4 linked regions of the Arabidopsis thaliana genome follow. The protein of the gene in region 2 interacts with the protein of the main gene of each other region in a pairwise test. Each region holds a gene or a part of one and is shown on either strand. Other genes may lie near its edges.

Region 1 (6,425 bases), on a different chromosome or scaffold from region 2:
TAGAAACATTGTTATTGGCATTTTCCGTGACTTCATATACTCTACTGATGATGGTATACATATAATTGAACGTATCAAAACAAAGATTTCTATGATTTGGAACATTCATTGTCCCGTTTACATGCTTTTACTTTGTCTTCATGTTCAGCGAATTTGAAGGGAAATTCGAAGACACAAATGGGAGTGGTGCAGCACCACCAGCATGCTTGCCTATTGCTTCTAGCTCAGGATCTACAGGACACCATGACATCGAAGCCTTAACTGTTGACAACCCAGAAACTGCTATTGTGTCTCATGATCATCCTCATCCTCAACCCGGCGATACCTCTGATCTTAATTATTTGCAAGAGCAAGTAGGAGGAATGCTTAAGATTACTCCCTCTGATGTTGAAGTAAGCCATCTTCCTGCTTATTTTTATAATGAACATAGAAATAGGAAGTTGTGCAGAGAAACTAATTAACCTGACTCAAAATCTACCCTCATAATTGTTGTTTGATATTGGTCTTGTATTTTGCAGAATGATGAGTCGGACTACTGGCTTCTCTCAAATGCTGAGATTAGCATGACGGATATTTGGAAAACTGACTGTATCCTTTGCATATATGCAATTTGTTTCTCTCTTATAGTTAACTATATCTATCTGCATAAGATATAAATACGCAATCCTTAACTCTAGCAAAAGCTGGTATCGATTGGGATTATGGAATAGCCGACGTGAGTACTCCACCACCAGGAATGGGCGAAATAGCACCAACAGCTGTTGACTCAACCCCGAGATGATCGAATACCAAGCACACTTCTCAACTTCTGATCCCAAATGTGTTACCTCACAACACTCCCTAAAATCATATACAAGGAGGGAGCAACTACAGAACGTGTATGAACCAATGGCAGGTGCGTTCCATACAATGTACCATTAGATTATGATTCATTTATCGCCTAGAGTGATGTTGTAGAGGAGCACCGAGAAACTAATGTAAGTTTAACAGAGAATGTACTTCATCGGCTGCATTGGTACACTATTTGATTATAATATTTTTGACCACTCAAATGCATCTTTATAATCAGCTATATGAAGAAATCCAAACTCAAATCAATATCCGGATTAAAGCGGGAAGTTTAAACGAAAACAAACACAAATATTCTCGCTGTATTAATACTTACTGCTTCAATTTACAGAAAACATGAAAAAAAAAAAAAAATCTGTTTTGTTTCAATTCAAAACTTTCATTCACTTTTCTTTCCCTATATATCTTTAAACAAACGAAAAGGGTTTCTTTGTCGAGTCACGTATATGTACGTTTGCGTTACTATGCCGCTGGCTGAGTTCTGGAGTTAGAACGTCGCAGCTTAGCTCGAGCATCAGTGAGGGGTGATCCCGGAATTGTATCAGGAATGTTGACTCCATCATCACCGTTAAATGTTCCGGCGGAGTCTCGGCCTGGTGTTGGTGGTGGTGTTGGTGGCGGCCACTTCCTCCCTCTGCTTGTTTGCTTCTCTAGCGATCGCAACGCAGATAGTGATTTGTTCAGCGGTCTTGGAGCGCGCGGTGATGGAGGATCATTGTCCATCTCCACCGGTGACTGCGCGTTCATGTTCACGTTCCTCTCCGTTGGCTTTAGCACAAACACAAAAATTCAAAAGTGCAAAAGGGAGGTAATAAACACAAGATTGTGTTTGCATTAGTACATAAAACGAAAATCAAAAGCGATAGAAAAGTACCGGTTGGTTAGCTGCAGCGGCAGAGAACCGGACCGATTGGGCGAGTACGTACTGAAAACCCTGGATCAAGGTGGATTGACCGGCCTGTGCATCAACATTATATGTATGTTGTTAATCTTATAATAATTTAGTCAAACCTTTAAAAAGAACAATTTGTATATATAAGTAATAGAAAGATAATTTAAAAAAGGACCTGGGCGAAGTTGTTGAAGTAAAAGATGAAAAAGTCCCAAGCTCGAGCTCGCAACTCCATGATCTTTCTGTCAATCTCTGTCTCGTGTTGAGCCATGTATGGCTTCAACAATGTTTCATACACATGTCTCGTTCCCTTCATTCATTATTTATTTCGTTATTATTATTTGTACATCACCATAAACCACTAATTAATTATGATCCAACTAATCACTTTTTAAAAGGAAAAATTATATTACCTTTGTTTTAGGGTACCAGAGATATACGAAGAAGACTACTTTCATCTCTCCGTATAACGGTAACCTGCAAATAATAATTGCATATATCAATTAATTATTTGATGATTGTTAATATTTTTTAAGACAGAGATGGATTAAGGCATGAATTAACTAATAATAAAACTTACTTACCATGAGATAAAAAAATCGCCAACCCTCTCGAATGATGAAATTAGCGCCAAAAGTATCCTAATTATTCAAATACAAATGTTTAACAAATTAATATTTTCGAGTACATATTGACAATAAACTATCATATTAGAATTACGTGCATCACATATATTGAGATATCTTTAAAATAAACCTAATACAATTGTCCCAGTAATCCCCAGACTAGGTATATAATCAACGTTCGAAACCAAAGACTTGTACAAAAGATGAGGTGTATTCATAAATGGTTTTTCTAGCAGAAGACATCAACTTAACGGAATTTTGATTTTTTTTCTCTTTTAAAATCAAACAAAAACCCATAACAGAGAAAAGTATATCACTATGATCGAACTAAAATCGATTTGCCTATCACTACAAATCTACTACATACACTACACATTATATATGAATGTTTAAAAGTATCGAGGATAGAAAAAAGGGGATCATATATAAATAATTCAATACCAGTATTGGCACCAAAATCTGAGTTCCTCGATATCAACTTTGTTCTTCTCCACCGTTTTAAAGCATTCGAATGCTGGGTATGTGTACCCTAATATCAATCTGCCATTCTCACCATTTCAATTATATATATACATCAATATACATGATTAATTAATCAAAAGAAAAAAAGAGATATGGTTAGGACATACACAAGGAGTCTGATGATGAAATCTCCCAACATCTTCGACCAGTTTAGACTTATCTCCTGTTACAATCATAACAAAACCGATTCAACAATCATATATATATCAGACGAATAGATCCATTTTTAAGCGTTTAACAAATGCAAATGAACCTAATGAAGAAGATCAAAGACGTTAGGAAGATCTCGTCCTCGTAAGAATTATTGAACGTATGAAGAAGAATATGAATGGAATTGGTGTTTTTTTCTTCAAGGAACCCAGAGGGATCAAAACTGCAAATGAGATCAAAACCATGTTTAATGGTTACAGAGTTTTATTATTAGAAGAGAAAAAAATATGTATAAGTTGTTATAAACAAACCTAAATTTATGGAGAGGGTGTCTCTCCGGGTTAAGCAAAGAAAAAATAAACAAAAACTTTGAATATCAAAGACAAAGAAAAAAAGAGGAAGATTATGAAGACGCGTAAGTTCTAAAATTGGAATACATCAGGGTTTAGTTTTTTTAGAAATATATAAACGTCAATAAACAAACAAAAAAATTACAAAAAGTAAACGGTTTCTTGCCACAAAAGCTACTTGAATTTGGGGGTAAGAGGAACGGGTTTACCGTTTGACCGTTTGACCGTTGTCTCATTATCCTCGTTATTTAACATTGTTCGACGCTTCATATGAATTTACAAAAAAAGTCCTTGAAGAATCAAATTAATTAAGTTTGACTGATTTTACACTAATAAATATATATTCTTCTGCTGTCCTTCAAAAAAAATACTAAATACGAAATTCTATAAACTACTAGAATATCTTTTGAAATCCATTAAAATCTCATCTAAACATCCTTTATTCAATGGATAATTTGAAGCAAACCTAGTCTTTTTTTTTTCCAAACAAACATAAACTCAAAATAATTCCGTTCCTTATTAATCCAAATTCTAAGTTTTTCACACATGAAAAAAATTGATCCTAAATGTATTATTTTTTGTGATTAACAATTTCCACACTTAAAATTTGTATAGAAAAATTAAAATTTGTATCTTTTTGCAACAAACTTTTTTTTGTAGAATTTGGAGTAATAAGGAATTGAGGAAGAAGTACTTAATAGTGCAGTGATCATAAGTGAGTTGTTACTTATGTTACTTATATTTTACACTAGGTAATCTCAAATCGAAAATCAGATTGATGGACAATATTATTACAACATTCTATGTCTACCAGGTTCCCATAAAAAAACTTCCACCTTTCATCGGCCTCTAAATATTAATCTATCAATAATTAAACATACTGTACGTTTTCTGTAAAGTTTTGTATTGTTTAACAGTAATGTTTATTTTTCTATTATATGTTGTAAAACAAAGTTTATACACCTTTCTAATGTACTTAGAGGAATAATAGTAATACTGGAAACAAAGAGTGGTCTGGATTTGTGTTGGAGGAGCTACGGCCTTTGGGTTTATATCCCTTGAGTGACAATTTATTTGAGTGTTGTAAAGGCGCTGTACAAAGCTCATGAAGGCCCAACACAAATCCATGTAAAACAAACTCTTATTGAGTACTTCTACAACTTCTCTTGTAATATTTGTTAACACCATGTGTAAATCCTAAAAAAATAATATATTCGAATTAAAATTTAAAACGTAGTTTAAAATAATTGTGTATGAAATGAATTAACGACCGTATAGTATAACTATTGAATGCAAATGACATACTAAAGATCATCTGACTTTTTGAAGAAAAAAAAGGTTAGATTTGACAAAAAGAAAAATATAGATCGTCCAACTAGAACCTAAATCGTAATGGGAAGGCTTAATTATATATGAAATACCATTATAGTTCATTATAGTCAACTTAAATAATAATCCTATATTCACATCTCATAATTTTCATAGATCAGTGGAGTAAGTATATGTCACATTAATGCTCATGAATGTAGACATTTACTAACATATTTTTAAAAGCTCACAAAAATTTAAAAGAAATTATAAACTGTCATTGAACATCAAATTAAATATTGTTGCTAAGAGTTTACTTCTCATTAATCCACCTCAGTCACCACATGCACCCTTTAATACCAATCCAAGTAGACTCACTCTCCCTCACACACTCTCTCTCTAAAATCTATTTCATCTTGGAGTAAGAGACAGAGAGACAAAGAAAGAGCAAAGCAATGACGACAGGCAAAAGCAAGAAGAAGAAGATGGTCCTTAAGGCAGTCTCTGTCGTAGACATCGGCTGTGGCAACTGTAAGTTCCCAAGCTTGTCTTCTTTTTTCAACCCTTCCCCCAAAAAGCCCCGCCTCTACTCCTCTAATTACGGCCACTGCCACTCCTCCACCCCCACCACGGCCTCCTCTTCCTCCGCCGTTCCCTCCACCTCCCACTGGTTCTCTGACACCTCTTCCTCCTCGGCAACACCCTCCGCCGCCGCTGTCGCCGTCGAGAAAGACTCAGACGATCCTTACCTAGATTTCCGACAGTCCATGCTTCAGATGATTCTCGAGAACGAGATTTACTCCAAAAACGATCTCAGAGAGCTTCTCCACTGCTTCCTCTCCCTTAACGAGCCATACCACCACGGCATCATCATCCGCGCTTTCTCCGAAATCTGGGACGGAGTTTTCTCCGCTGCCAAACGCCGTGGAGACGTCCAAGAGTCTCCACTCGTCCACCGTCATGGCTCACGTGCGTCACACCGTAACCACTACCACCGCTCGAAGTAACCTTTTTTAACTACGAATTATGCCACGTCACCAATAATGTATTGACACGTTAACTATCCATTTTACTACTACTGACGTGTCAATATATTATTGGGTTTGTGCTTTTTAACTTCTTATCTTAGCTTTGGGATTTTCTTCTTTGTCTTTTAACCAAGTGTAACGACAATGGTAGAATAATTATAATATGGTTGCTACTTGTTTCAATGTTGATTTTTGTAGTAATATTCGGCCAAAATCGATAAGAATAGAAGTTTTAAAGATCTTGTGACACTCGTGACTCTCATTAGGATGATGACGTGAAGGTTCCGGAAACAAGTCCACGTGAAATCTTTTTATTTATTTATTATCATGAATTCATGATCACAGTGCGGATTTTAAGATATTTAACAAATATACATTCACATATTATGCATTTTAGCAAGTAATATGTGTTTTAAGAAAAAGAAAAAAAAGAAGCAAGTAATATGTGGTCATAGACATATAAAATGTACGAAAAGGGCATTTAAATCATATTATTTACCCCGTCGACGAAAATATTTTCATAGCCGAAAACTTTATAGAACGTTAGGTATATAATATTTTCATATATATATATATATATATTTATATATGAACTGTACAGGTCTTTGATAATAATATTTGTGGACACTGGACAGTATTTATAGACTATATTGCATACATATTTTTCCAATAGATAACTTCTTTTCGTTTGGCCGTTGTG
Region 2 (8,331 bases):
AAATGTGGGTGTCTCGATAAGGCTAGAGCGGTTTTCGATTCGATGAGAGACAAGAATGTTAAGTGTTGGACTAGTATGGTTTTTGGGTATGTTAGTACTGGTAGGATTGATGAGGCTAGAGTTTTGTTTGAGAGAAGTCCTGTAAAGGATGTTGTTTTGTGGACAGCTATGATGAATGGGTATGTTCAGTTTAACCGGTTTGATGAGGCATTGGAACTGTTCAGGTGCATGCAAACTGCGGGAATTAGGCCGGATAATTTCGTGCTAGTCTCTCTCTTGACAGGTTGCGCGCAAACGGGAGCTTTAGAGCAAGGAAAATGGATTCATGGGTACATAAATGAGAACAGGGTTACAGTAGATAAAGTAGTTGGTACTGCTCTTGTAGACATGTATGCAAAATGTGGATGCATTGAGACAGCTCTAGAGGTTTTCTATGAAATAAAGGAGAGAGACACAGCTTCGTGGACATCACTTATCTACGGTCTTGCGATGAACGGGATGTCAGGAAGAGCGCTGGACTTGTATTACGAAATGGAAAATGTTGGTGTTAGACTAGACGCTATAACATTTGTCGCGGTTTTAACAGCTTGCAATCATGGTGGATTTGTAGCAGAAGGCCGTAAGATTTTCCATTCGATGACCGAAAGACATAACGTCCAGCCTAAATCAGAGCACTGCAGCTGTCTGATTGACCTACTATGCAGAGCTGGTTTGTTAGATGAAGCAGAGGAATTGATAGATAAGATGCGTGGTGAAAGCGATGAAACTCTAGTTCCTGTATACTGTTCTTTACTTAGTGCTGCTAGGAACTATGGGAATGTAAAAATAGCAGAACGGGTAGCGGAAAAGCTTGAGAAAGTGGAAGTAAGTGATTCCAGTGCTCATACTCTGCTTGCAAGTGTATATGCATCTGCTAATAGATGGGAAGATGTAACTAATGTGAGAAGGAAAATGAAAGATTTGGGAATCAGAAAGTTTCCTGGTTGCAGCTCCATCGAGATTGATGGGGTTGGTCATGAGTTTATTGTTGGAGATGATCTATTATCACACCCAAAAATGGATGAGATCAACTCAATGCTGCATCAAACGACAAATTTGATGTTGGATTTGGAACATAAAGAAATTGATAGCTGAAACTTTCTTGTACATTCTCTAACTACTTCCCTTATCATTAACATTTGTTTCCCTGCTAATGAACCGGTTTTGAATCGATGTTGGTTTTGAATCGATATCAGCTTCTCTGTAACTGAATCAGGATTGATTGAGACTGAAGAAGAAGAAGATGAAGGAACATGGATTATTTCAAAAGAACATAAAGGCAGAGAGTAGTTTTTCTACAAAGGTCACAACTATACAATTCAATTTCATGTTCAAATAAAAGTTTTTATACCAAAAATCAGAACAAAAAGAGAAAGGGCTGAAAATGAATGGCTCGAATCTGGTAAAACTGGAGGGGCAAAGTAAATGGCAACACAACACAAAGACTCTGTTCCATTAACTGGAAAATTATGGCTCTTCGTTGGTATTTGCAGGTTTTCTCGGGGAGCAAAAACGGAAATCGAATAGCATTTGAAGGCTTTCCCCGGGAAACCGGACTCGGTTTACTTTTTTTCTCGAGGTTTCGACTGGTGGGTTTATGCAATTAATCAGAGCTGGAATCATAAAATTCGCTGGGACAAGGAGTCATGACCTCTGATTCAAGTAACTGGACAACCCGATGCATCGTTGGACGCTCTTCTGGACTCGGAGACACACACTGTGTTGCTATTGATAGTAGAGCGTCAAGGCTCTCCATCTGCATTCCTTCACAGTTTGGATCAACAATATCCCTTGGCCGTTTTTCGCTGATTAAGAACTTTAGCTGTAAATCATGAGTCAAAAGCTTTTTTAGTCAAGTTTGTCGTAACAAAATATCAGTATTGAAAAAGAATCTTATTTGCATACCCAACCAACAACGTTAAGGCCTTTCTCGATGAAGGAAGCATCGGTTGGTCTTTTCCCACTCAAGACTTCAAGAACCAAAACCCCAAAACTGTATACATCGGTTTTCTCAGTTGCTCTACCACTTTGCATATATTCTGTCAAATGGAAAAGTCTCAGCATTTGAAAGATCAAATCTTTATGTAAGTAAAGACTTTTAAAAGGCATATGTACCTGGAGCTAGGTACCCAAATGTGCCTGCAACAATGGTTGTGATATGAGATTCTTCGTCTTCCAACAACTTGGCTAGACCAAAATCCGATACCCGTGCCTCGAGATTGCCATCAAGCAAAATGTTGCTCGACTTTATATCACGATGTATAATCCGAGGAGAACAATCATGATGCAAATATGATAACCCTTTCGCAGCTCCTATGATGATATTTACGCGTGAATCCCAGTCCAATTGCTCGCCTCTCTCTACTAATTCAAGAACCAAACTTCTCAGTGAATCATTCATAATATGGAAGAGAGCCATAAAGAGCAGATTGATCATACCATGAAGTGCTTCATCAAGGCTACCACCGGGCAAGTAATCATATAACAGTAGCTTTGATGTTGGTGAATTGCAATATCCACGTAGATTCACGAGGTATCGGTGTTTGATGCTCCCAAGAATCTCAAGCTCCCGCTCAAAAAACCGATCAAACCCTTCGTTTAACTTTAGAATTCTCTTCAATGCAAAGACTTTGCCATCATCCATGGCCAGCTTATACACCGTTCCAAAGCCTCCACATCCAATTATGTGCTCTTCATTCAACATTTCCAGCTTCTTAATGATATCTTTGGAAGAGTAAGGTAAATCTCCGTGGAACATCACAATAGACGCACCTGAATTGAAAAAGTCACAATGAAGATTTAGGAGATAGAGAAAAATATGAAATTTCCCAATATTTAACGAGATAATATCTGTACAAAAAAAATCAATACGGCTCACCTCCACCAACATCCTTTGCAAGGCTTTTAATCTCGACTTTACCGAGCTTTTTATATAGAAAGCATCCCCAGAAACACATGAGTGCAACTAGGAGTAGCGCACCTACAGTTGCTGATGCGCTAATCAGCAGCTTACCAGAGTTTTTCTTTTGATTTTGACCTATAAAGTATAAGACACCAAATAAATATAACTTTACTGATAGAGAGCCACAACAAAACCTGTATATCACAAGAAATTCATAATTGCTTTTACCTGATTGAGAATGTGATGAAGGGTTTCCACTATCATCTTGGCACACGACATCAACATGCTTTCCACACAAGTTAAGATTTCCAATGAAGCTGTAGTAGTAACGCATCAGTTTGAGAATCATATAATTTCAGTCGCACTGATACAATCTAGCTAAATAGTTATGTGGTTCAAAAAATCATCTCGAATATAAGCGAAATATGAAAGATCAGCTGTATAAATGTAACTTTAGAGGATTGACAAAAAAAAAAAAAAAATGTAACTTTAGAGGCTTTATTTTTCTATCCCTACAAGAAGAAAAGGGTGTTTATTGTCTTACGAGTTCTTAGAAAATCCAGAGAGCACTCCGTCTGAAGGTATTTGCCCCACCAGGAAGTTGTTCGAGACATTGCTTCATAAGACAAACGAAACAGAAAGATTCACAGGACTGCAATATGATAAATTACAGCGGAAGTTAGAGATTAAGGTGCTCACAAGTTACTAAGCTTTTTTAACTGCCCAAGCGAAGCAGGGATAGGTCCACTGAGAGTGTTGCTTGACATGTCCCTTGAAAATAAAATAAAAAAGTCAAAAGTCAGTTTTAGTAGAGAAAAGAGAACAATCAATATGTGAATCTGAAGTAAACAATACATTATCATGCTTTTCAAATTGCTCACCAAGAGTTTAGGTATAACTAGTTCTGAATATAATGTGCATGAGAAGACATTATGCAGTCAACCATATGTTACCATGATCCTAGATGGTGATAGAAGTAAATGAAAACAAAAAACAAATAGATATTGCATACACTAAAAGAAGGATGCACTTGCAAGTACGTATAGGGAAGAGAAAAAAACATACAGCTTTTGAAGGCCAGGCAGGTCTCCCATTTCAGCTGGGATTGGTCCAGTGAAGTAGTTACTCTGCAAGTGACTGCAAAACCAGTTGGACAATTTTGATGACCATAAGCAACTGGAATTGGTCTCTCAGAAACCATGTGGAATCAGTATAAAATCCTGGAAAAGCGCTTACATTTCCTCCAATGCTGTGCAATTTCCCAATGCTGTAGGTATTGCTCCATATAAAGCATTGTTGTGAAGCATTCTGCAATGACACACAGATGATCAGAATCGAAGTACTCTCTTAAGCAATAAAAATGAATAAGGCTAGAGAGCACATACAAAAGCCTTAAATGGTCCAACTTTCCAATATCAGGAGGTAAAGGTCCCATTATTTTGTGATAAGTAAGATTCCTGCGAAACAAGAGTATTAGGGAGCACAAATACTGAAGAGAAAACCAGTAAACCTTGACAAGTTTGAAAACTTACAAGGTTATAACTCTTTTCGTTTTTGCATCACATGTCACTCCGTTCCAGTTACATGGATCTGGATCTTCCGGTCTCCACTGATGGATGAAACTATCTGATCTAGTAACTGCATTTCTGAAGCTCAGAAGCGCCTCGCCTGAAGAATGGAAACAAGCAATAAAGGATTAAAGCTCAATAAAAGGTCCAGGACGCTATGAATAGTAATAGTTGATTCATATCGACGTACCGTCAGGACTAATCGCTTGACTTTCATTAGATAGTGAGCAAAGCAACGAGATCAAAAGAAGCCATGAGCAGCAGCTTTTCATCTCACAGATGCCCATCATGGCACTGTCCAAGCATAATATAACTACTACCAATCATTTGAAAAGAACAGCCTCTTGGTTGTCAGTTATTAGTTGATTCCATGTCTATGTTCAAGTAAGAAACTAGACTCCTGAAAAACAAAGGAAAGCCCACAAAACTAATTGTCAATTACACTACACATTAAGCTCAGTCTCCACACAACTTATGCATGCTCTCATCTACATTTTGAGTACTCAAAACAGTGAAATTGCCTCACAAGAACCAATACACACTTTCCAATTGCTAAAATCAGAAAACGAGAGCTAAATTCGGCCAACAATCTCAAAATCATCATCAACAAAAGAGCTCAAAAACAGCTCTAGCTTAACATAGATTACGAAATTCCCAGATACCATCCAATCCTATAACACAATAACAACTGAAGATTCGAACAATATAACAAATCCAAAAAACGATTCAGCAAAAGACCCAAAACCCCACTCTTTCCAACAATATCAAAGGTTATAGCTTTAAAAGCAAACAGAATTAGTAAGAATTATAAGAACCTCTAAAAATGGATCCGAGAGGAGGAAGAATTGAGACAGAGGAAGAAGAAGATGACTAATTTGAGCTGTAAAGCAAAAAAAAAAAAATATAACTTAAGGAGAAGATAAAAAAAACAAAAAAGGAATCGACTTTTTATTTTGTTTGTGTGATTTATGGTAAGAGTGAAGAGAGAGAAAACTAGAGTGAGAGAGAGAGAGTGTGTGAAGAAGAAGAAGATGCTTTCTTCTCCAAAGCATACGACCAATGAGAAGAAACGAAGTGGGTCTCGCACGTGCCGATCTTGACCTCCCACACGTGTCAACCGACGCTTTCTTCATAAAACCCAATTATTATTGCCAGCTAGACCTTAGCTAAGCCTAATCTCTACAATGGTCGAAATCATTGGGCCCATTTTTAAGGCCCATTACGGTATAAGCCCAGCGGTTTGATTGAACCGGTTTGAGATTAGAAGCCATTGTTGTCCGTTGTTTCACCATCGCGTTATATCGATGGCTACGGCGGCGATTATTTCCGTGAAACCGCCGGCGAGCTTCTACTGCGGAGGAAACCGACGCGACGGAGGAAGGGGAATCACCATTGCACGAGTTTCTCGAGACGAACGGTTTCATGAGAGGATCGTTGGTCTCTCTGCCTCGACCGTGTTGTTCATCGGTTTAAGTAGCCTCCGCGTCTGTTCTCCGGCCTCCGCTCGAATACTACCACCGCCGATTGTCGTTACAGAGAATGAAATCAACACAGAAACTGTAGCTGGTGCGTGAAATTGAACATTTTCGTCACTCTTGGGATTTCGATGGATTTGAATTTTGTGTTCCAATGGAATGTTTTTGCAGGTGAAGAGAATCTAAATGAAGTTGAAGATGAAGAAAAACTGGAAGCTGATTTCGAAGCGTACAAGTCTAAAGTGTATTCTCTTACTGTCCCGCTAAAACTCGTTGCCTTGCGTGGCTCAGTGCCACCATCATGGATCAAGGTTTTAGTTTCACTTGTCTGTGTTTCCATTTCTATTTTGAATCTTAAGCTTATAGTTGAAAATGTATGTTGTTGGATTCTGTGAATGGAATTTAGGAGTTTATGAGCTCACAAGGGAAGAGAGTGAGGTTAAAGACTCAGTTTCGAGGAAATCTTGAAGAGATCTTTTTCGATCTATCGAAACCAAGTAAGAATGGAAAAAAGGGGGCTGCTTCAACTGCAGCAGCTGATATGATCAGCATTGGTGATTCTTGGCTTAGTTTTGCTATTAAGGAAAAGCTAATTGAGCCAATGAAAGGGATAGAAGATCAAGACTGGTATAAAGGCTTGAGTGATAAATGGAAGGTGAGAATTTAAATCAGTGGTTTAACAATATGAATATGAGTCTTTTTGAAAGAACACTAGCTTGAGAGATTTTAATAGGCATAATCTTTCATGTGTTTTGTTTTCGTACTCTGCTAGCTTGGGAATGTTCATAGGGTTCATTTCATGACTTAGAAAGTCTCAGATTTATCTCCGCAGGAACTATGCGGGAGAAAAAGCTCCTGACGGTGAAACGTGGGCTGTGCCATACCGCTGGGGCACCATGGTTATAGCATACAAAAAGAGCAAATTTCAGAATTATAAATTGGCACCGATAGAGGTTGGTATACTTTGTTGTTGCTAAATGCTGTCTTAGTGTTTTCCTATTTAAAAGAAGTGAATATCACTGAACATTTTGCTGAATTTAGGACTGGGCTGATCTGTGGCGACCCGAGCTTGCAGGAAGGATCGCAATGGTGAATTCTCCTAGAGAGGTTGTTGGTGCTGTTCTCAAATACATGAGAGCATCATACAATACGACAGACCTGGATTCACAAGTTCCTGGCGGAAGATTAGCAGTGGAGAAAAATCTGGCATCACTCATGAAACAGGTTATTACCTCTTTACTATCTCTCCATACCCTAAAGAGAACAGATGAGTTTAGGCTGACGTGTTTCACTCAACCTCTATAGTTATTGAGAAAAAATGACAATGGTGGCTGATCTTGTTTCCCCTTTTGCTTATAGATTAGACTATTTGATAGTAACAACTATTTAAAAGCTTTCAATGTCGGAGATGTCTGGGTCACTGTTGGTTGGAGCAGCGATGTTATCCCTGTCGCAAAACGTATGTCTAATGTTACAGTGATTGTTCCCAAATCCGGTGCCACCTTATGGGCTGATCTATGGGTAAGTTACCGTCGTAAAATCACTTAACCCTTCATCTGATATCTTGAATGCTTCTTGTTCTAAAGACGATATAACATATCTGGACACTAAACCGTGAAGCATAATTGTTTTTCAAGGCGATCCCGGCTGTTTCTGACTCTGGTAAAGAAGCAGAACAAAGAGGAGGACGAGTCCGAGGCCCATCTCCATTAATCAACCAGTGGATAGAATTCTGCTTGCAACCTGCAAGATCGTTACCATTCACACGGGAAGTAATTCCTGGTGCATCTCCTTCAGCTCTTGATGGTCCTCTGGTTACAGAACCCGAAAAAACAAAGAAAGACAGAACAAAACTGGACACAAACCTGGTCACAGGTGTTCCTCCTCCGGAGATCTTGTCTAAGTGTGAGTTCTTGGAACCTTTACCAGAGGCTACGCTATCGGAATATCGGCTTCTGATTGAAACTGTAAGGAAGCAAAGCCAAAGACCTGGCCTTGTGGAGAAACTAAAGGACATTGTTTCAATTAAGGTTCGAGGATTTAGGGCAAAGCTTGACTCCGAGATGAATAAGAACATTTGAGAGACGGACAAAAGTGGAAATGGAATCATTTGTATGATTACATAGAGCAACTTCATGTTGGTTAACATAAGGGGTTTTCTATCTCCTTATAACAGAGTATCATGTCATGAAGAGCCAGAGGCTGATCGCCTTTGCTCATGTTACTAGTTAGTCGTTAGTTCAAACACTATAGATGCCAAAACAAGTGTATAAATTAAATTAAACTACACAAAACGCCTAATATAACCTAACATTATTTAATTTATTGGCCATCTAAGAGGTAAATA
Region 3 (9,731 bases), on a different chromosome or scaffold from region 2:
TTCTACTATACATTAAGGTCATTTACACACAAATGCAACACCTAACTATCATTCACACAATAATTAATCGGTTTACTTGGTTTTGATCAGCTAAAAATGATTACTTTAGAAACAAACTATAGCTTTTGAATGCCAAAAACAAAAAAATATATACCTTTTGAGAAAAACGGTTGTTTACATAGAATCAACCAAACTTACATGGGTTTCAATTATTATGTTTTGTACTAATTAATCTTAACTCAATCAAATTGCATTCACGTGTTTGTCAAATTGTCTTTTTTTTTTGTGCAAAACATAATTGATTTCATTCAATCAAACCCAAAAGAGGAGAAACAAAGGATACAAGTACTTGAAGCACATTCTTACAATAAAGATAAGATAGCTAGGATAAGTTAAAAGCATTGAGGATAGACCCATAAAAATTTTATGATAAAATCTCAGAGACAGAAGCTAGCTAGCAACATGCCACAAGCGAGTTCTTGGTGTGTCAAAGAGACTTCCACGAACAATTCAGGTATTTTAGAACTAGTCACTATCAAAAGATTTTGTGACGATTACTAAAGGTACTTAGTCTCACTATTCGCCGGCACAAACGACAAATGGAACCAGAGCCAAGGTTCTTTCCATGACGGGGAAGCTTGGATGGCGAGGACCCTTGAAGTCAGGTAAGAATGAAATTCTAGATCGGAAGCTAGCTGGATGTGTGTCGGGGAACAGTTAGCTATGGTTCGAAAAAGCTTAAGCAAAAACAGGGAAATCACAACTCCTAGTTTTGGCCGCTAGATTGAAGTGGTGTCAAGATGCTTCAGTGGATAGTCGATGAAGATAACGTCCGGCAGAGATGTGTCTAAATTGACACTCCGGGATAAGCTCAGTATATTCACGGATAGAGATAATAGATGCGGTAGTGATAAAACCTTCAAAGACAAAAATTCATAGATGGTTTTCCAATCTAAGGTTTCATATTCTTCAGCCAGAGGAGATATTAACCACAGGGTTTGTGAGACAGATTTTCGTTTCAAAAACATGCAACACCATAGACAGATTGTCGCTTCAGGGCATGAGTAAAGTCCTTGGTCAAAACAATATATTACTAGTGATGAATCGAACCTAAATATGTTTGTTTTTGAAATATCTATGTGGTTCCAATGCATAATCTAATTAATATTAGCCATCAACTTACAAACGTCAGAAATTTGTCGAATCAACTTACCAGCACGCATGATGCATGGTGGTCCACAAATGTTATCCAATGTTAAATCAAATTTATGAGATATCACGTTTTCGAAATATATAGTTTTCTAAATATACTAGCTACTTCATATTAAACAGCAATATTAGGACTTAACAGTTTAGATTAATTAATCGCATGTTTATTGTTCATCATTAATTACCCTAGTTACCCAATACTAGAAATCAATCTCTTCTTTAATATATGTCCGAAAAATATTACATTTGCAATTTTAGAGATAAAATACACATGTACGTAGGCCAAGTTTTACATCTCGTAAATATACATCATAAAAATGGGGCTAATTACCCAGAAAAATAAAGTAGTAATTACATAATGAAAAAAAAAAATCCTTGTTTGTAAATAAACAAATATAACACCATAAACTGAATTTGATCATTTTTATAATAAAATAAAATAATTCAAATTAAGTTTGATTTCTTTCATCGGGCTGATGAATAAGTGAAACTTGTATTTCTTCGAGTGATAATCCTTTCGTTTCTGGAACGAGCAACCATATAAAAAGCAACGCTGCTCCACCGATACCCGCGAATATGAAAAACGTTCCTATTACATTAATTAAACTATATAAGAAAATTATAAATTAAATGCAATTATAATATATATATATATATATATAGACATTAGGAGAAAATAAAATAAATACAAACTATATAACATATTCACTCAACCAAAAATTTAACTAATTAGTCTTTTAAAATAAAATAAACAAATAGTTGTGTTATAAAATGTATATGAGGTTTCATTGAAATGCTATAAACACAGACTTTGAAAACTATATAAGTTTTCTAGACTTAATCATTGATTATTTCTATGCGATATACAAAAAAAAAGGATAAGTTATAACTTTTTTTGTTGATCACAAGATAATTTATATAACCAAAATTGTATAAAATGGATATTAAGAAAAAGAAAAACATAATACCTTGAGTGCTCCATTCGAACAGAAAGTTGAAAGCGTAAGTGACGATTGAACTACTTGAAAATGAGACTAACGTAACTATACTTCCTGCAGTTACTTTTATATTTATTGGAAATATCTGCACACACCAAAAATCATACATATATTACTTTATTTTTCAAGACATATTACTTACTTCCTGCATAGAAATAAAATTAACAGTGAAGTAAATTTATGTACCTCCGACATAATTACCCAAGGTAGACCTCCCAAGCCTATTGCATAAGTTGCAATATACATCTGCCGATTTAAAAAATATCAATTTTAACTATATTTTATATGTAAAAGAAACATCAACGTAAATATTTTCATCAAAAAGATTGTGTACAAGGAGATATAATGTCTTACCATTACGCATATAAACGATAATATTGGAGTTAGTTCCGAAAGCAATTGCATTTTCTGCTCATGCAAAAACATTGTTAAACAAATAAGTTATTGGTTTAAAAACAGAATAAATAAAAATAGTAATTATCTTACAAAAAAAATAACCTGTAATGTGAAGGCGACCCCAAGTAGCATGCAAGTCATGCTCATCCCAAACGCTGAAGTCTATGTCAAAATAGTAATCAAATCAATATAGACTAATAGATTTGAATCTGCGAACAGCCAGAAATTATTTAAAGACATGCTCACCATCAGGAGAGGACGTCTGCCCCATTTATCGACAAGAATGAGGCCAATCATGGCTTTTGGAATCTGCGAATAGCCAGATATTATACCATTCAATGCTTTCACGAGTTAAAAGAAAAAAAACTAGTACATGAAAATTCTTAGTTCAAAGAGTTCATTAAAGTACGAAATTTTAACAAAATAAAAAATGTCGTTTTTTCAACTGTGATAAAATGTCGATTAAAACGCCAACATCACACAAGTTTTGTTTTTTTTTGAATATTTGGAAGTTGAAACCCAAAAATTCTATATCTCCTAGAAACGCGACCTATACCAGGTTAAATAACATCACACAAGTTTAGTTGCTCAATAACAACAGATTTCAGAGACGTAGTTTCATTTCTTAAATTTTGCATCCATATAGTCAAACAAAATTTGAGAAAAACATTTATATATACTTACCACGAAGATACCTAGCATCGTCGTTCCAATGGCCACCGAAAAACCTGTTTCCATCCAGAACAATTATTGAGCAAAAAAAAATGGAAAGAGGAACTCATGGTAAATATTTACTAAAACCCTTTCTCTTAAAGTATTTAGAATGAGCTAATGGCATCATTTTACAAAATAAATACACAATTTAATTTTATTTTGAGAAATCTTAGGAGTTCAGGACCTTTGCCCATAATCTATTGATTGGTAGAATAAAATATGTTTTGTTAGAAAAAAAAACATTCTCAGAGAAACTGAAACTTCTATGCAAATCTTCACTTGCAGATTTGAACAGATTGTCATATAATATATATATAGTTATTATTATTTCTGACATTTTAATATAAAATTAAACATTAATAAAAATAAATGAATGCTTACCAGCTTTTCTAAAAATGGTACTTGCATAAGAGATTACAGCAGCACTTCCTGAGAATTGTTGTATCAACATTAGCCCGATTCCTACCTGAGATATTAATTAAAAATGAATGCTTGTGCAGATAAATTAAATATGAAAATTTGATACTCTAGAAATTAGTTTGATGTACTTGTACGTACCACGAGGGTGTATCTATACTTTCTCTGGAACAAATCTGAAAAACTCGACTTTGAATCATTTTCCACCATTTTGGTCATTACCTGAAAACAACACAGAATTATTCAGACTTTACATTTTTTTATTTGTGAAGGAATGAAAATATAATTTCAAAGAAAAAGGGAATGTATATTTATTGAAAATTATATAAATTATAACTGATAATAGTATATAGTAAAACTCACTTGAATTTCTGAGGCTTCACGTGAAATATCAGCATCTCTTCCTCTAAGCCGAAACAGTGAATTTTCTAGTTCTTTATCGGAGCCAACTTTGGCCTTCAAAATGAAAATAGTTTGGTTTAAATTTTTTTCTTCTCATGGTTGATAATAATTAATAAATTACGTAAAACACTAAAGAAAAATTAAATGACCAACCAGCCATCTTGGAGACTCTGGCACGAAGAATAAACCGATTACTTGAATGAAGCATGGTAAAGCACCTAAACCAAAAACGTATTACATTTTTATCAGTTGATTTGCTATAATATAACAGCTGAAGATTTCCAGTTTTTTTCTACTATACATTTAACATATTCTTACGTCTCAAAACAATTTTTTCACGATGAATATGGAATTTATAGTCTTACCTAATAAAGCCAACGTCCTCCAAGTGATGAAATTCCCACAGAAATAAATCATGGCGAGTCCAGCGTTTTGAAGAAGCTAATAATCAATAATTACACAAGAATGAAACAAGGATCAATATACTCACGAGAAATTTTGAAAAGTTTTAATTTGGATTTTGGTTGGTTTGTCTTAGACTAGTTTGTGCTATTTTTTTTTTTTGTCAGCACTCATTCTTATAAATATTCTAAAAACCTAAAGTATTACCTGGTTTGAAAACGTAAATGTACCACGAACATGTTTTGGCGTAATTTCTGCTATGTAGACAGGTACCTGCTTGGTAAATAAGCAAAAATTACAGATCAGAAAACAAACTTACAAAGATGATATTAAATAATAATAATAATAAGTTAATTACCACATAGCTCGTCAAGCCGAAACCTATCCCTGAAATGATTCTTCCGAAGTTCAGCAACACTACTTCCTATTGTATTCCAAAACATAACATAAATTTAATTATTGGGTTTATAATAACCATAAATTAATTGGTTTGTTTATTTTCTAAGAAATAATGTTTGAATGAAAAAAAAAACATGTTTATGAATAGAAAATAACTAGTAGTACCTTAGCAAAAGCGATGGAGAGCCAACCAGTGATGCATAGGAAATCGGAGACCCACATTGTCTATTATATCATAAATAGCAAAAATATTATTATAAGCATCATATATACGAAAATTATAGTCACGAAAGAACCAAAAAAATAGAAGAATGGTAAAATTACGAATATGAAAGGTGAAATGGTTAAATTAATTACCCCTCTTCTGCCAATGACCATTGCCAGATTACCGCAGAACAGTGCACCAATTGCAGCTCCTAAAGTGGCGAATGAGCCAAAAGCTGAAAACTGAGAAAAAAATGATTTATAACAAATATAGTTTTCATATATATAGTATTATTATTATTATTTTTAATATATATATATATATATATATATATATAATATTTCAATATTTCAAATTTCTATTATTGTAGATGAGAGAATTGGCCGGAGAATGGTTCTGGAACGATGGAAACGTTGATAGCTAGATAATGTTTTTATAAGATGATTTTGACAACCGCTCAATATATCAGGATATATGTGCATATATATAGTTTTGGTAGGGTTATTATTATGATAAATAATGTTTTTTTTTGGATGATTTCGACAATTCCATATATATCAGGATAATATATATATATAGTTTTGGTAGGGTTATGATAAGAGTTTAAAAAATGGGTAAAAAAGGAGGTGAACCACACCAACAAAGAAGTATAATCAACTCAATGGGATAACGACAATCTATATGTTTCTTCTTTAGAATTGATGGTTGTTTGTTTCAATTTGAATGAATAAAGAAACAAATATTTACGGATTTAAAAATGATGTGAAGCTTGTATTTTGATAAAAATTGAACGATAATTAACCTAGCTATTTTTTGCATATGTCAATATGTCACTCGCTCTCAGTTGCTTAATTATACACAAAACTTTGTTTGTTTGTTTAAGGATGATAGTATAAAAGAATTAACTTTGAATGGATGTGGTTTTTAAACTAGTTTTTGGTTTTAGTTTTTTCTAAAATCTATTTTGTAACCATTCAAAATTTTGAAAAAACAAGTTTTCTTAAAAAAATAGGGAATCTAGTTTTTGAGTGTTTTAACAACTTTTCAAAGAAAATCAAAATCTATGTTTTGAGAGTTTCTCTATAAAAAAACCATCGATCACATTTTTTATTTTATTTTTAGATTTTTTTTGTAAAATAAAATATAATCCATTAACATAAAAACCAAAATCTAAACAAATTACCATTCAAGTTTTTAAGAAACTAAAATCTACACCAAAAACAAAAACCAAGAAAATCAAAAACTAAAAACCAAAATCCAAAAACCATTTTAAAAACTACAAACATTCATGGCCTTAGTCTTTTTTTTTTGATAAAATTTGCTACTTGGTTAATTTTCAATACATGTTTTTAGAAATAGAAGAAAAACCGTAAAAGAGAGACATACTTGCGCGATAGAAAGATCCAAGTCCTTCATAACTCCTGTCTCAGCACCTGAAGTGTAACCAGTCTGTATAAAAACAACAAAAACTATAAGAAAATAGGTATAACGTAATTATGAAGTATGTTTTCTTTTCATACAATTTTGTTGTTTTCATTTGTTCTTCTATAGAAGAAGAAAAAATCAAAGTAAGGTAAAGTAGAAAACTCACAGCAACACCAAAAGAGAAGGAGCCACAAACGGCGACAAAAGTGCTAAGGATAACACAAGCAGTAATACGACACTCTGAATCGTCGTTTTTGTTCTTGAGCTGCAAAAGCCCTTCTTCTATGCTTCTTCCTTCCTCCATCACCATCCCTTACACTTGCATGTACTAATATGACGAAACTTATGGTAAAGAAACAGTGAGAGCTAGAGAGAAAATGCTCTGTTTTTAGCAAAAAACCAAGAGAGCTAGAGAAAGAAGAGAAAGAGAGCGAATGATGTGTTTGTCAATTTAGACTACGTATAAAAAGAGGCTGGGAATTAAAAATGGTTATTTTGGTTTTCTACTCTTTAGGGGTTTTGGATTGGAAAAGCTAACGTGTGGACGTGAGACGTTTTTTTAAACAAGATCAAGTCAAATTTCATTAAACCAAGTTTTGTTGTTTTAAATTATAAAAATACAGCTAAGTATTAGTATATGATCATTCATCATCTGGATTCTAAAATAGTTTGACGTATACAAAATGCTAAACACTTTGAAAAAATATCCTTTAACCAGCAAATGGTGAAGACTTCTAATTAAGGGTTGGATTGGAAAGCTAACGTGGACGCGTAAGACCTTTTTTGTAAGACTTTGGGTTTTATTGGTAACCAAAAGCTGTACAAAATTTTTATTTGTTAGCTTTATCGGAATAGTACAAAGCTGTTAAAAGGAACTGTATAAAAAAAGCTGAGAGTAAAACACTTTTTGTAACGTTTTTGATAAAAAAATTGTGATTGGTAACTGTCAAAACGGTACAAAACTGTATTGTTATTAAAATGGTTACCATTCAAACCCTTTATATCATTTTAAGTCAAATTTCATTCAACTAAGTTTTCTTCTTGAAAAAATAAATACAAGTACTATTTAAATTATTATTATATGATCATTTGTCATGAGCGTATTCTTAAATAGTTTGACGAATTAAAAATACTGTAGTATGAAAAAAATATTGACATATTCTTTAAAATACCAAAGTTTTTTTTATAACAAATTATAAACAACGATTAATCGTCTATAGCGAATGATCCTAGTTATATGTCAATGTGGAGAAAGCTCTTTTCACATATAATTGGAAGCAATAATCTGAGTCAGGACATATACGTTACCTTGGATCAACAAAAATCGACAGTTACTCTTTTTTTCTCTCTGAAAGATTATTCTCAACTTGTAAAAGTGACGTCTTCTCTTGTTGATTGGTCCCTTATCTCAACGTATCTAGATGGATTCACGATAAGTATTATTTTGAATTCCATGCAATTTAAATTATATTAATGTGTATATATTGCTGGTTTGGATTATGGAATATTTTAACTTAAATTCATATCTTTGAGTAAAAAAAATATCTCTCCAAGACTATAACATTATAAGTTTGAATGGTAACACAATACAGCTTTGTACAGTATTGATAGTTATCAATCACAAAAACTTTATCAAAAACGTTACAAAAAGTTTTCTTCTTAGATTTTTTGTACAGTTTTTTTATACAGCTCTTTTAACAGTTTTGCACTATTTCGATAAAGTTAACAGCTAAAAAACTTGTACAACTTTTGGTTATCAATCAGATCCTATATTCGGGTGTTTTAAGAAGTTTTCACTCGTAACCAAAAGAAAATTGGATGACGATGGAACTCCATATTTGATGTAGAAAAAACAATCATTTATAGTCATTCATAATCATTGGATGAAAACCGTACGTTTCAACCTTTTTGTTTCTTTTTTTACATTAACTTGTTTAAATACCTCACAAGTTATTAGAACCTTTTAGTCATTCTTTGATTGAGTTTGCTAATACTTTTAATTAAATGTTTAATTAATCATAATTTAACGTTTTTGTCCTCCGTTGTTATTATTCTTACGTGAGGATCTATATTTGTACCTGTTACCATCTAGAAATGGAACCAAGTATTTAATTTTATTCATCAGTCTGCTGCTGAATTTTAAATATTAGGAGATTATAAAAAAAGAAAGGTCAACTAAAGAATTCGTAACGCGTACGGATCAACTATAATATCAATAAATGCTATTTTTGACAAATTATCAAATCTACAAATATTTTTAAACGCTTAATGACATATCTGTCCAAATAAACCATACAGAAGGAGAAATGATTAATGGAACTATATAACTAACGATAGTACTAATTTAAGTGTTGTCTAAAATTTTGTATAAACAACTTTAATCTAAAATCGGATAGACAGAAACATGTTAGAATTCAACATGTTATCTGACAATTAATCCATATGTAATTGTACATACAAATAGTCGTTTGGAATTTGAAACTACTAACTACATCAATTAATCATCGAAACGAAGTACATAGATAAGACCCTTGGAACATTAGATAGAGAACCAACTTACTTGCCTTAAATTCTCCTGAATCTACGATCTAATCCATTATATCCCCAATAATTGTCCAAACTACCTATTTATGGTTTGACTTTTGGTGCCTCTTTGGAAATTGACAATTTGTTTATGCAGTTGAACAAATCTAATTTGGACAAGCAAGCTAGCTTGCGTGGATAGGGAATCATGAATTTTGTTAGGATTAACATATGCATGCCATACCATCATTCATGATTTCTTATGTTGTGCTGCAAATTCAATTCTTCGGTGTAGAAATTATTTAAAGTTTTAATGTAAAACAATTTTTTTGTAAAATAAATAATCTGTCACATTTGTTTGGAAAATTTGTTTGGAAAATCTATTAGTTAAGTTTTGGCTCAATTGATTTATCTAATAATCATAAATACATGTAGTCTGATTAACCCTGTTATTAGTTAGAAAACATTTAAAATTTAGGACATATAATGTGGTGGTCTTTCGAAAAAACGTTCTCTCTGAACTATTTCAGTGTGCTTTTATTGAAACTCACCGGATCAGTCGATAGAATTAAAAAAAAAAAAAAATAGTCTACAAACACGACCCAGTTCAATTCAGAAAATAGTCCGTCTACAACCTATCT
Region 4 (7,034 bases), on a different chromosome or scaffold from region 2:
TTAAACAAAGACAACCAAAAGATTCTACCTTCTAGCCAAAGCTGAAAGATCTAACTTTTCAAATACAGAGAACCTAACATTCAACCGTTGAGACCCATAAAAACCCAGAGAAAGAACAGATTCAACGTTTCAAACATATAGAACGTAAAGAGTCAGAGATTAACCTTTTATTAAACAAAGACAACCAAAAGACTCTACCATTTAAACAAAGATTATAAGATTTAACTTTTAAAACACAGAGAACTCAAAGATTAAACTGTTAAGAGTCTTGAGAGCAGAGAAACAACAGATTCAACGTTTCAAAGTCAGAGAACGTAAATATTCAGAGATTTAACAGATTCAACCTTTCATTAAACAAAGACAGCCAAAAGCTAACAAGATCTAACTTTTTTTATTTTTTTTACAAGATCTAACTTTTAAAACACACAGAACCTAAAGATTCAACCCTCGAGAAGCTGAGACCCTTAAAACACCAGGGAAACAACAGATTCAACGTTTCAAAGACAGAGAACGTAAAAGATTCAGAGGAAAAACAGTTGCAATCTTTAAAACAAAGAGAACCAAAAGATGAATAAGCCGTAGACTTGAAACCCATTCAACAAAAAGAAGAAAAAGATTCCCACTTTTCAAACAAAGATATCAAGAACAACGTTACCATGCAGTCAGAGGATAGATCTGCCCTCTGAAAAATCTTGAAAAAGCTCAACATCTGCCGTTCTTCTTTAATCCGATCAAAAACTATGTTACTACTCTTACCCATCTCTCTCTCTCTTCCTTCTTCTATCTCACTCAGAACCTCCTCTCCTTCAAGTTTCTTTAGTATAACTCTCTCTCGCCCTATCCCTATATCTCTCTCTCTGGTGTTATAAATGGGCAAAAGTGAGTATCCAAATATGTATGCTTCTTTTCATTAAAAACGAGTCAAGGTTATAATAGTGGAAAAAGCAGTCACGTTCCCATAAATCAAAGTGTTTTTTTATTTTATAGTAATAGGCAGATGAAACAATTGCTGTTAAAAATCTGACTTCAAAGACACGCAAAAGCAGTGTTTGCTAGTTTTAGTACCTGAGGATCCCTGAGCAATAAGGACTGATAGACTTTTAACTTAGCTTCTTTTGCCACCATCCCTTCTTTTTTAAAAAAATATTATTTTCATTACGATCAACTTCATTTATTAATTTGAACCTTCGGTAACTTTTTCTCTTTTTAACGTTATATGGCAGTCAAAGGTCAAAGTTGATAACCTTTTCTAAACTGAAAAGTAAAAAAATAAGGTACAAGATGAGATCACACCAAACTAATGTGTGCAGAAGATACCCCAAAACTAATATGTTTCTGTAATTTATAATGAAAATACACACAAATATATAAACCACACGACTCACTACATGTGTGTTCATATACATACATATATGATCAAATTGTTAAACTTGACCATGAAATCTATTGATTTAAAAATTTGGATACATTTTAGACATCATGTACTCAAAACGGGAAATAGTTATGAACATAGTGGAGGTAATCAACAATTCTATTAACAAAGCATCAATGTATTGATAAAACGGTCGTCAGTGTTCAATTCCAAAATACATATTGTTAACTTGGTCACAAGCTATAATCCAATCTATCAACTAAGTTGCAAGACAATGTCACACAGAAATTATTTACGCCATTATGCACTTTAATTATATTTATAAAATATTAAACAACACAACCCCATTTCTTAAACGCAGCATTGACTTTCATCAGAGTTCAAGACTGATCATCCATAAACCCAGTACTGTAACCATTTGATTTTATGAACTTCTTCAGAAGAAGAACCATGATAGCGATTGTGAGCCCAACCGCCGCCCACGTGAAGAGTCTGTCATCGACTGGCTTCTGAGCCGCTCTTCTGGCCATCCTTTGCTCACCACTTACAGAAGCTTTGACCACAACTTCAACCGCTGGTAAAGGTGCTGCAGCGGGAACCACACTAGCTGCTGTATTGACTGCTTCAGCTGTCTCTTCTATGATTTGATCATCAACTATGGTGTCTGTTGTAGCGATGGACCGCTCTTCTACTACAGTTATCGCTTCCTGTGGCTCAACTTGGGAGTGAGCTTCTGATACGATGGAAGGTGCTTGGCTACATTCCAGAGGAAGAGGTTTTGGAACCACGGTTGCTTTGCTAAGGATGTACTGATGAATCTGCGCTTGTTAAAAGGTCATGGTTACTAAAAGTTTTTTCCAAAATTGAAGATGAATCAGAGGTATGAAACTAAAGTCATAACAAAAATCATGAAGAAAGGGACGAGAGTTTAGACCAAAAGGAGATTGTTAACACTACTATTGTCTTTTTTTTTATATTTGTGCAACTGACTACTTTTTAAAAACGACAATAATCAGTAAAATGGTGTGTTAGGACTTGAGCAGCAAATTTTACTGTATGGAGAGAATAATAACAGCTGTGATTGCAGTTAAAACAAAGCAGATACTCTTAGAGCAAACATTAAATCATAACCGCTAGAGATATGCAAGCCTAATATATAATATATTGCGATCCCGTTTTGACCACCAGCTAGTCCTATGGTTTATAATGATGCAATGCAATGGTATGGCACATACTCTACAGGTTCAGCAAGCATCTAGCTAAATTCATATATTTTCATCAGGATATTATGCATAGTGGTTCAACACCCAAGGGTATTCTAGTGGGGAACTATACCTCATCAATAATTTTTTGCCGTTCAGGAGAGCCATACTTAGGTGGTGTCTCACGTGATTTAATGGCTAGTGTACGTCTCTCATCCTTTGGATAATCTACTGAGCCCAGTGCTCCATTGGGACTTGTGGGCATAAATGCAATGAGAGCCACCAAAGCAGTCCGAACTGAAAAGAAACAAAGCTCAATCATAATACAAAAGAGCTGATATAGTTCAACCTCATGTAAATTACAAGTGTCTGAGTAATCTTTTAGGAAACAACATAAAAGTCAAGAGATAAGGTCTCTTGAGATCCATGACTTTACCACTCCATGAAGGTTGCCAATGCTCAGGGTGGTAGTTTGAAATGCTCAAGCAAATCTTGGTGTTAGTTTCAAAGCGCCCGTTAGGCTGAAACAAAAGTACAGAGATTCTTTAGATACATACTCTCTTATGGAACTTGCAACATCTGTGTGTTTTTATATATGAAATAAGAGTAAGATCCTTACGGTCAATAACATGAATGAAGGAGGTTTGAATGGATAATCTGCAGGCAACTGAATTCTCCCATGATAAATCCCGCCCTCGAATTCAGTATCACCAGGACCTCGGATGGCGAATTGCCACTCAAAGATATTCTCCTGAAGTTAAAAGATAGATAAGAGTAATCATGTAAACTATTTGGTATCACACAAGAACTTGTAAAAAACAGCTATAACATCGCGCGCAATCTATTTGGACCATGACATGTTGGAAAAAGTCTTCACAGTTAAAAAAATTAGAAACGAAGAACTAGTATGACAGCTGAGTGGATCAAGGAATCGTTCGTAATCTTCCCCACTTGACTCAGTTATTCCAATAAAAACACAAAAATCCAAACTTTATCTGTTGCACGAGTGTTGAAAGTAGAGAGACTTAGTAAATTCAGTGTATACAAGAAGATATATCGATCCTCCCTAATCATGATCGCCTAAAATCAAACACCATCACTCAGAACAGATACACAATTACAACACAACACAACATAACACAACAACATAAGACAAGGGGATTTTCTCAAAAAAGGAAATTTCAAATATAGATTCGAATCAAAATTCCCGATCTAAAAAGCTAGAATCGGAGATGTTACCTCAAGAGGAAGAGACATAAAATCATCAGACGGATTAGCTTGCATCTCCTTAACCTCCTGCAAAATCCTCTTCACCGCCGGATTCTTCCGATTATACCTCTCATCCGCCATCTTATTTATCCCCACGAGATCTTGCCGGAAGTGCAATCCGCCGCCGGAGTTCTCTCTGTCCGATTCGTCTTAACAGAAAATAATAAATACACAAAATTAGAATTACCACATGGCTTCGGGAGATGAGCTAATTAGTACGGTGATATAATACAAACACACAAAATTAATTCCAAAACATTTTCCACGTCACACTCTTTAACGACGGATACGTGACGTGAGAGAGCTTCTGAGTAAGTGCCACGTAATTAATAAACTTTAGTCATCCAAACATCTCAACGGTTCAGAAACTGTCACGTAATCTGAGAAATTTAAGCGCCTCTTTACAGCCGTCGATTTGGGAGAATCATTAAGCTATCGTGGCGAGACTTTAATAGGCCTTGGCCCATTAATTTAAAGCCCAATGAAACGTGCACGTCACAGACAACAGAAAATCAAAGCGTTGACAGTGAATCGGTGAAGAAGAAGAGTCTTGAGTCTTGAGTCTTGAGAGAAAGGAAGAAGAAGCAATTTCAATGGAGAAGAGAGGGGTGATCGACACATGGATTGATAAGCACCGTTCGATCTATACGGCGGCTACACGTCATGCTTTTGTCGTCTCGATCCGTGACGGATCCGTTGATCTCTCGTCCTTCAGAACTTGGCTGGTACTGTAATTAGTAATTACTGATGAAAACAAGGCAAAATATGAAATCTCACTCGATGACTTTTAAACGACGTTGTTTCCTTGTAGGGGCAAGATTATCTGTTCGTGAGGAGGTTTGTGCCGTTTGTAGCGAGTGTGTTGATCAGAGCTTGCAAAGATTCCGGCGAGAGTTCCGATATGGAAGTGGTGCTTGGTGGTATAGCATCGTTGAATGATGAAATAGAATGGTTTAAAAGAGAAGGATCGAAATGGGATGTTGATTTCTCGACCGTTGTGCCTCAAAGAGCTAATCAAGAATATGGCAGGTTATTGATTTCATATATGCTGATTGAATAGATTTCTCACACTCGAAAATGAAATTAGGAACCAGCAAATAAACCGGAGTTTCTGGTTAATTCAGGTTTTTGGAAGATCTGATGAGCAGTGAGGTGAAGTATCCGGTGATTATGACAGCTTTCTGGGCAATTGAAGCAGTGTATCAAGAGAGCTTTGCTCATTGTTTAGAAGACGGGAACAAAACTCCGGTGGAGCTTACCGGTGCTTGTCATCGTTGGGGGAATGACGGGTTTAAACAGTATTGTTCGTCTGTCAAGAACATTGCCGAACGTTGTCTGGAGAATGCCTCCGGTGAGGTGCTCGGTGAAGCTGAAGATGTACTTGTACGAGTTCTTGAACTAGAGGTTGCCTTCTGGGAGATGAGCCGTGGAGGACAGTAGCTAATGTTTGGGTTTGAATTTCTCATTTCCTCTAAATGCCAAAGAGAAACAAGTTCCAATCTTTATGTTTGGTGAAACACAAGTTGAGATTATGGTTTCATAACAGATTACATGAATACGGATTTGTCTCTGACTGGGGCAGAAGGTTGTTCCCGTCATTCCACATATTACACTTACTGGTAACTACATCAACTCCTAAAACTCTTAAGAACTCACCAATTGAAACCGAAAAGCTCTTTATTCTCTCCAGCGATGACCACAATTCGGGTTGCAACAGACAAAGAACAGTGTCATTCCTTCTTCACCTCTAGCCGTAGCCTGCACATTCAATGATAGCTACATTAAATCCTCAAGCGGTGTACAGAATTTGAGCATAATGTTTTGGGGAAGCAAACAGTGAAGATACAGCATAACCAAGTAGTTAAATAAATAATGGAGCTTAAGAGAGTTATACCTGGAAGAAAACGGCCTCCCTATGCTGACACTTAGAGCAACGCACAGCCTTGGTTCGGGGAAGAGTAGGGTCAGAAGCCACGTCTGTTAAGATCTGAGTTCGCTCACTTACAGAGTGATGAACCTCGTTTCTGTACACACAGCTGTTATCAGCTACCTCCTGCAAGTCAGTGCCACAAAAAGTATAAATTCTGAGATGAGGACAACAAACCCATTTACATGATCTAATCTAATCTGTCAATTTGTAACAACAAGATTGATAATGCAGCTTAAAAAATTGCAAATAACTACTCAGTTTGTGTAAATCAATAAGCTAAAAGAGGCCCTTCAAGTATTCATATAGATCTCATAAACACAACACTAGAAAGATAAACCATAAGAACTTGCTAAGCCTTAATTGAAGGAGTTAGTAAATAGAGAGGTTGGTAAAACTAAGGAAACTAGGAGCATTAAAAGAGAGATAAAAGCAGGAAACAGTTTCATTAAAGTCTCTTAATTGCAATGAAACTAAGTCCCACTCGCAATTTTGTGCACTACATTGAACACTAAAAACCCTTTTTCCACACAAAAAAAAGGTACAAAATGACCAAAAGCTATACCTGGTGATCACAATTACGGCAAGCATAGAGGAGGATCTTCTGTTCTTTGTCCTCCTTAGGATACAGAATGTTATTACTGAACCAAAATCAAACAGAAACAACAATGCAATTAAGAAAGGACCCAAAAACAAAATTCGAAAAAAGGTACTCACTTTTAGCGAATTGTCACCTTATCAACCATAGATGGTTCAACCACGGAAGAAATACATCAAAAGTAAACAACAAAAACTAAAAAATTCATGCAAATTTCGAAACTTTGAAAAAACCTAGACGAGCAGAGAGGTGCAATTCCAGAAACTAGGAACAGAATTAGCATAAGAGAGCTCTTACCATTCGCGGCAAAATTTCATAGTACTCATCTTAGCTGAATCTCTTGAGAGAGAATTAGGTTCCAAAACCAAAACTGAATCACTGTCTCAGAGAAATCTGGCGGGCTCGTTTTGTTTATTAGGAGAAAAATAATGCGATCGTCGTTCTAAATAACAGAGTCGCGTGATCGATCTTCGGATCGGACGTAGTTTCACGGGTTTTCTCGGGCTTTTGAAAATGTTATTGGGCTTTTATAAAGCTTATTGGGCTTAACACCATAGTTGACTACATATACATCAACCATGACATTTAAGTTTTTATTTGACCACATATGAAGAACAAAAAACATGTTACGGAAATGTAATAAACTGGTAACACAGTATATATCGA

Evidence for each region.
Region 1: the proteins of FEI1 (region 2) and HVA22J interact in a protein complementation assay, tested with the Arabidopsis thaliana proteins (one large-scale study listed by BioGRID).
Region 3: the proteins of FEI1 (region 2) and SFP1 interact in a protein complementation assay, tested with the Arabidopsis thaliana proteins (one large-scale study listed by BioGRID).
Region 4: the proteins of FEI1 (region 2) and UBC32 interact in a protein complementation assay, tested with the Arabidopsis thaliana proteins (one large-scale study listed by BioGRID).

Annotation. Positions count from the first base shown.
Region 1 is NC_003071.7:15,122,113-15,128,537, forward strand, and holds HVA22J (HVA22-like protein J), read right to left. Parts: upstream 3,477-6,425; 5' UTR 3,351-3,476; intron 3,263-3,350; 5' UTR 3,143-3,262; intron 3,053-3,142; 5' UTR 3,029-3,052; coding exon 2,997-3,028; intron 2,908-2,996; coding exon 2,809-2,907; intron 2,383-2,808; coding exon 2,326-2,382; intron 2,219-2,325; coding exon 2,155-2,218; intron 2,052-2,154; coding exon 1,917-2,051; intron 1,808-1,916; coding exon 1,724-1,807; intron 1,618-1,723; coding exon 1,312-1,617; 3' UTR 1,008-1,311; downstream 1-1,007. Other genes in the region: E2F3 (E2F transcription factor 3), read left to right, coding at 149-392, 519-588, 684-781; AT2G36026 (Ovate family protein), read left to right, coding at 5,153-5,704; AT2G36030 (uncharacterized protein), read right to left, coding at 5,447-5,659.
Region 2 is NC_003070.9:11,246,828-11,255,158, reverse strand, and holds FEI1 (Leucine-rich repeat protein kinase family protein), read right to left. Parts: upstream 5,542-8,331; 5' UTR 4,800-5,541; coding exon 4,700-4,799; intron 4,610-4,699; coding exon 4,474-4,609; intron 4,399-4,473; coding exon 4,327-4,398; intron 4,250-4,326; coding exon 4,178-4,249; intron 4,079-4,177; coding exon 4,007-4,078; intron 3,713-4,006; coding exon 3,641-3,712; intron 3,558-3,640; coding exon 3,486-3,557; intron 3,259-3,485; coding exon 3,170-3,258; intron 3,077-3,169; coding exon 2,918-3,076; intron 2,812-2,917; coding exon 2,479-2,811; intron 2,404-2,478; coding exon 2,155-2,403; intron 2,079-2,154; coding exon 1,945-2,078; intron 1,862-1,944; coding exon 1,643-1,861; 3' UTR 1,244-1,642; downstream 1-1,243. Other genes in the region: AT1G31430 (Pentatricopeptide repeat (PPR-like) superfamily protein), read left to right, coding at 1-1,134; AT1G31410 (putrescine-binding periplasmic protein-like protein), read left to right, coding at 5,814-6,075, 6,156-6,295, 6,391-6,639, 6,803-6,937, 7,026-7,208, 7,344-7,505, 7,622-8,065.
Region 3 is NC_003076.8:9,646,104-9,655,834, reverse strand, and holds SFP1 (Major facilitator superfamily protein), read right to left. Parts: upstream 7,328-9,731; 5' UTR 6,878-7,327; coding exon 6,734-6,877; intron 6,592-6,733; coding exon 6,529-6,591; intron 5,385-6,528; coding exon 5,295-5,384; intron 5,163-5,294; coding exon 5,103-5,162; intron 4,963-5,102; coding exon 4,897-4,962; intron 4,812-4,896; coding exon 4,746-4,811; intron 4,578-4,745; coding exon 4,502-4,577; intron 4,355-4,501; coding exon 4,290-4,354; intron 4,191-4,289; coding exon 4,098-4,190; intron 3,957-4,097; coding exon 3,876-3,956; intron 3,784-3,875; coding exon 3,699-3,783; intron 3,332-3,698; coding exon 3,288-3,331; intron 2,913-3,287; coding exon 2,850-2,912; intron 2,766-2,849; coding exon 2,706-2,765; intron 2,616-2,705; coding exon 2,562-2,615; intron 2,454-2,561; coding exon 2,394-2,453; intron 2,293-2,393; coding exon 2,178-2,292; intron 1,799-2,177; coding exon 1,659-1,798; 3' UTR 1,409-1,658; downstream 1-1,408. UniProt on the Arabidopsis thaliana protein: Sugar transporter.
Region 4 is NC_003074.8:5,794,186-5,801,219, reverse strand, and holds UBC32 (ubiquitin-conjugating enzyme 32), read right to left. Parts: upstream 4,291-7,034; 5' UTR 3,925-4,290; coding exon 3,814-3,924; intron 3,326-3,813; coding exon 3,194-3,325; intron 3,096-3,193; coding exon 3,011-3,095; intron 2,872-3,010; coding exon 2,708-2,871; intron 2,191-2,707; coding exon 1,753-2,190; 3' UTR 1,473-1,752; downstream 1-1,472. Other genes in the region: REM22 (AP2/B3-like transcriptional factor family protein), read right to left, coding at 656-760; AT3G16990 (heme oxygenase-like, multi-helical), read left to right, coding at 4,437-4,568, 4,655-4,872, 4,968-5,283; NRPB9A (RNA polymerases M/15 Kd subunit), read right to left, coding at 5,521-5,601, 5,738-5,896, 6,336-6,411, 6,666-6,694. UniProt on the Arabidopsis thaliana protein: Accepts the ubiquitin from the E1 complex and catalyzes its covalent attachment to other proteins.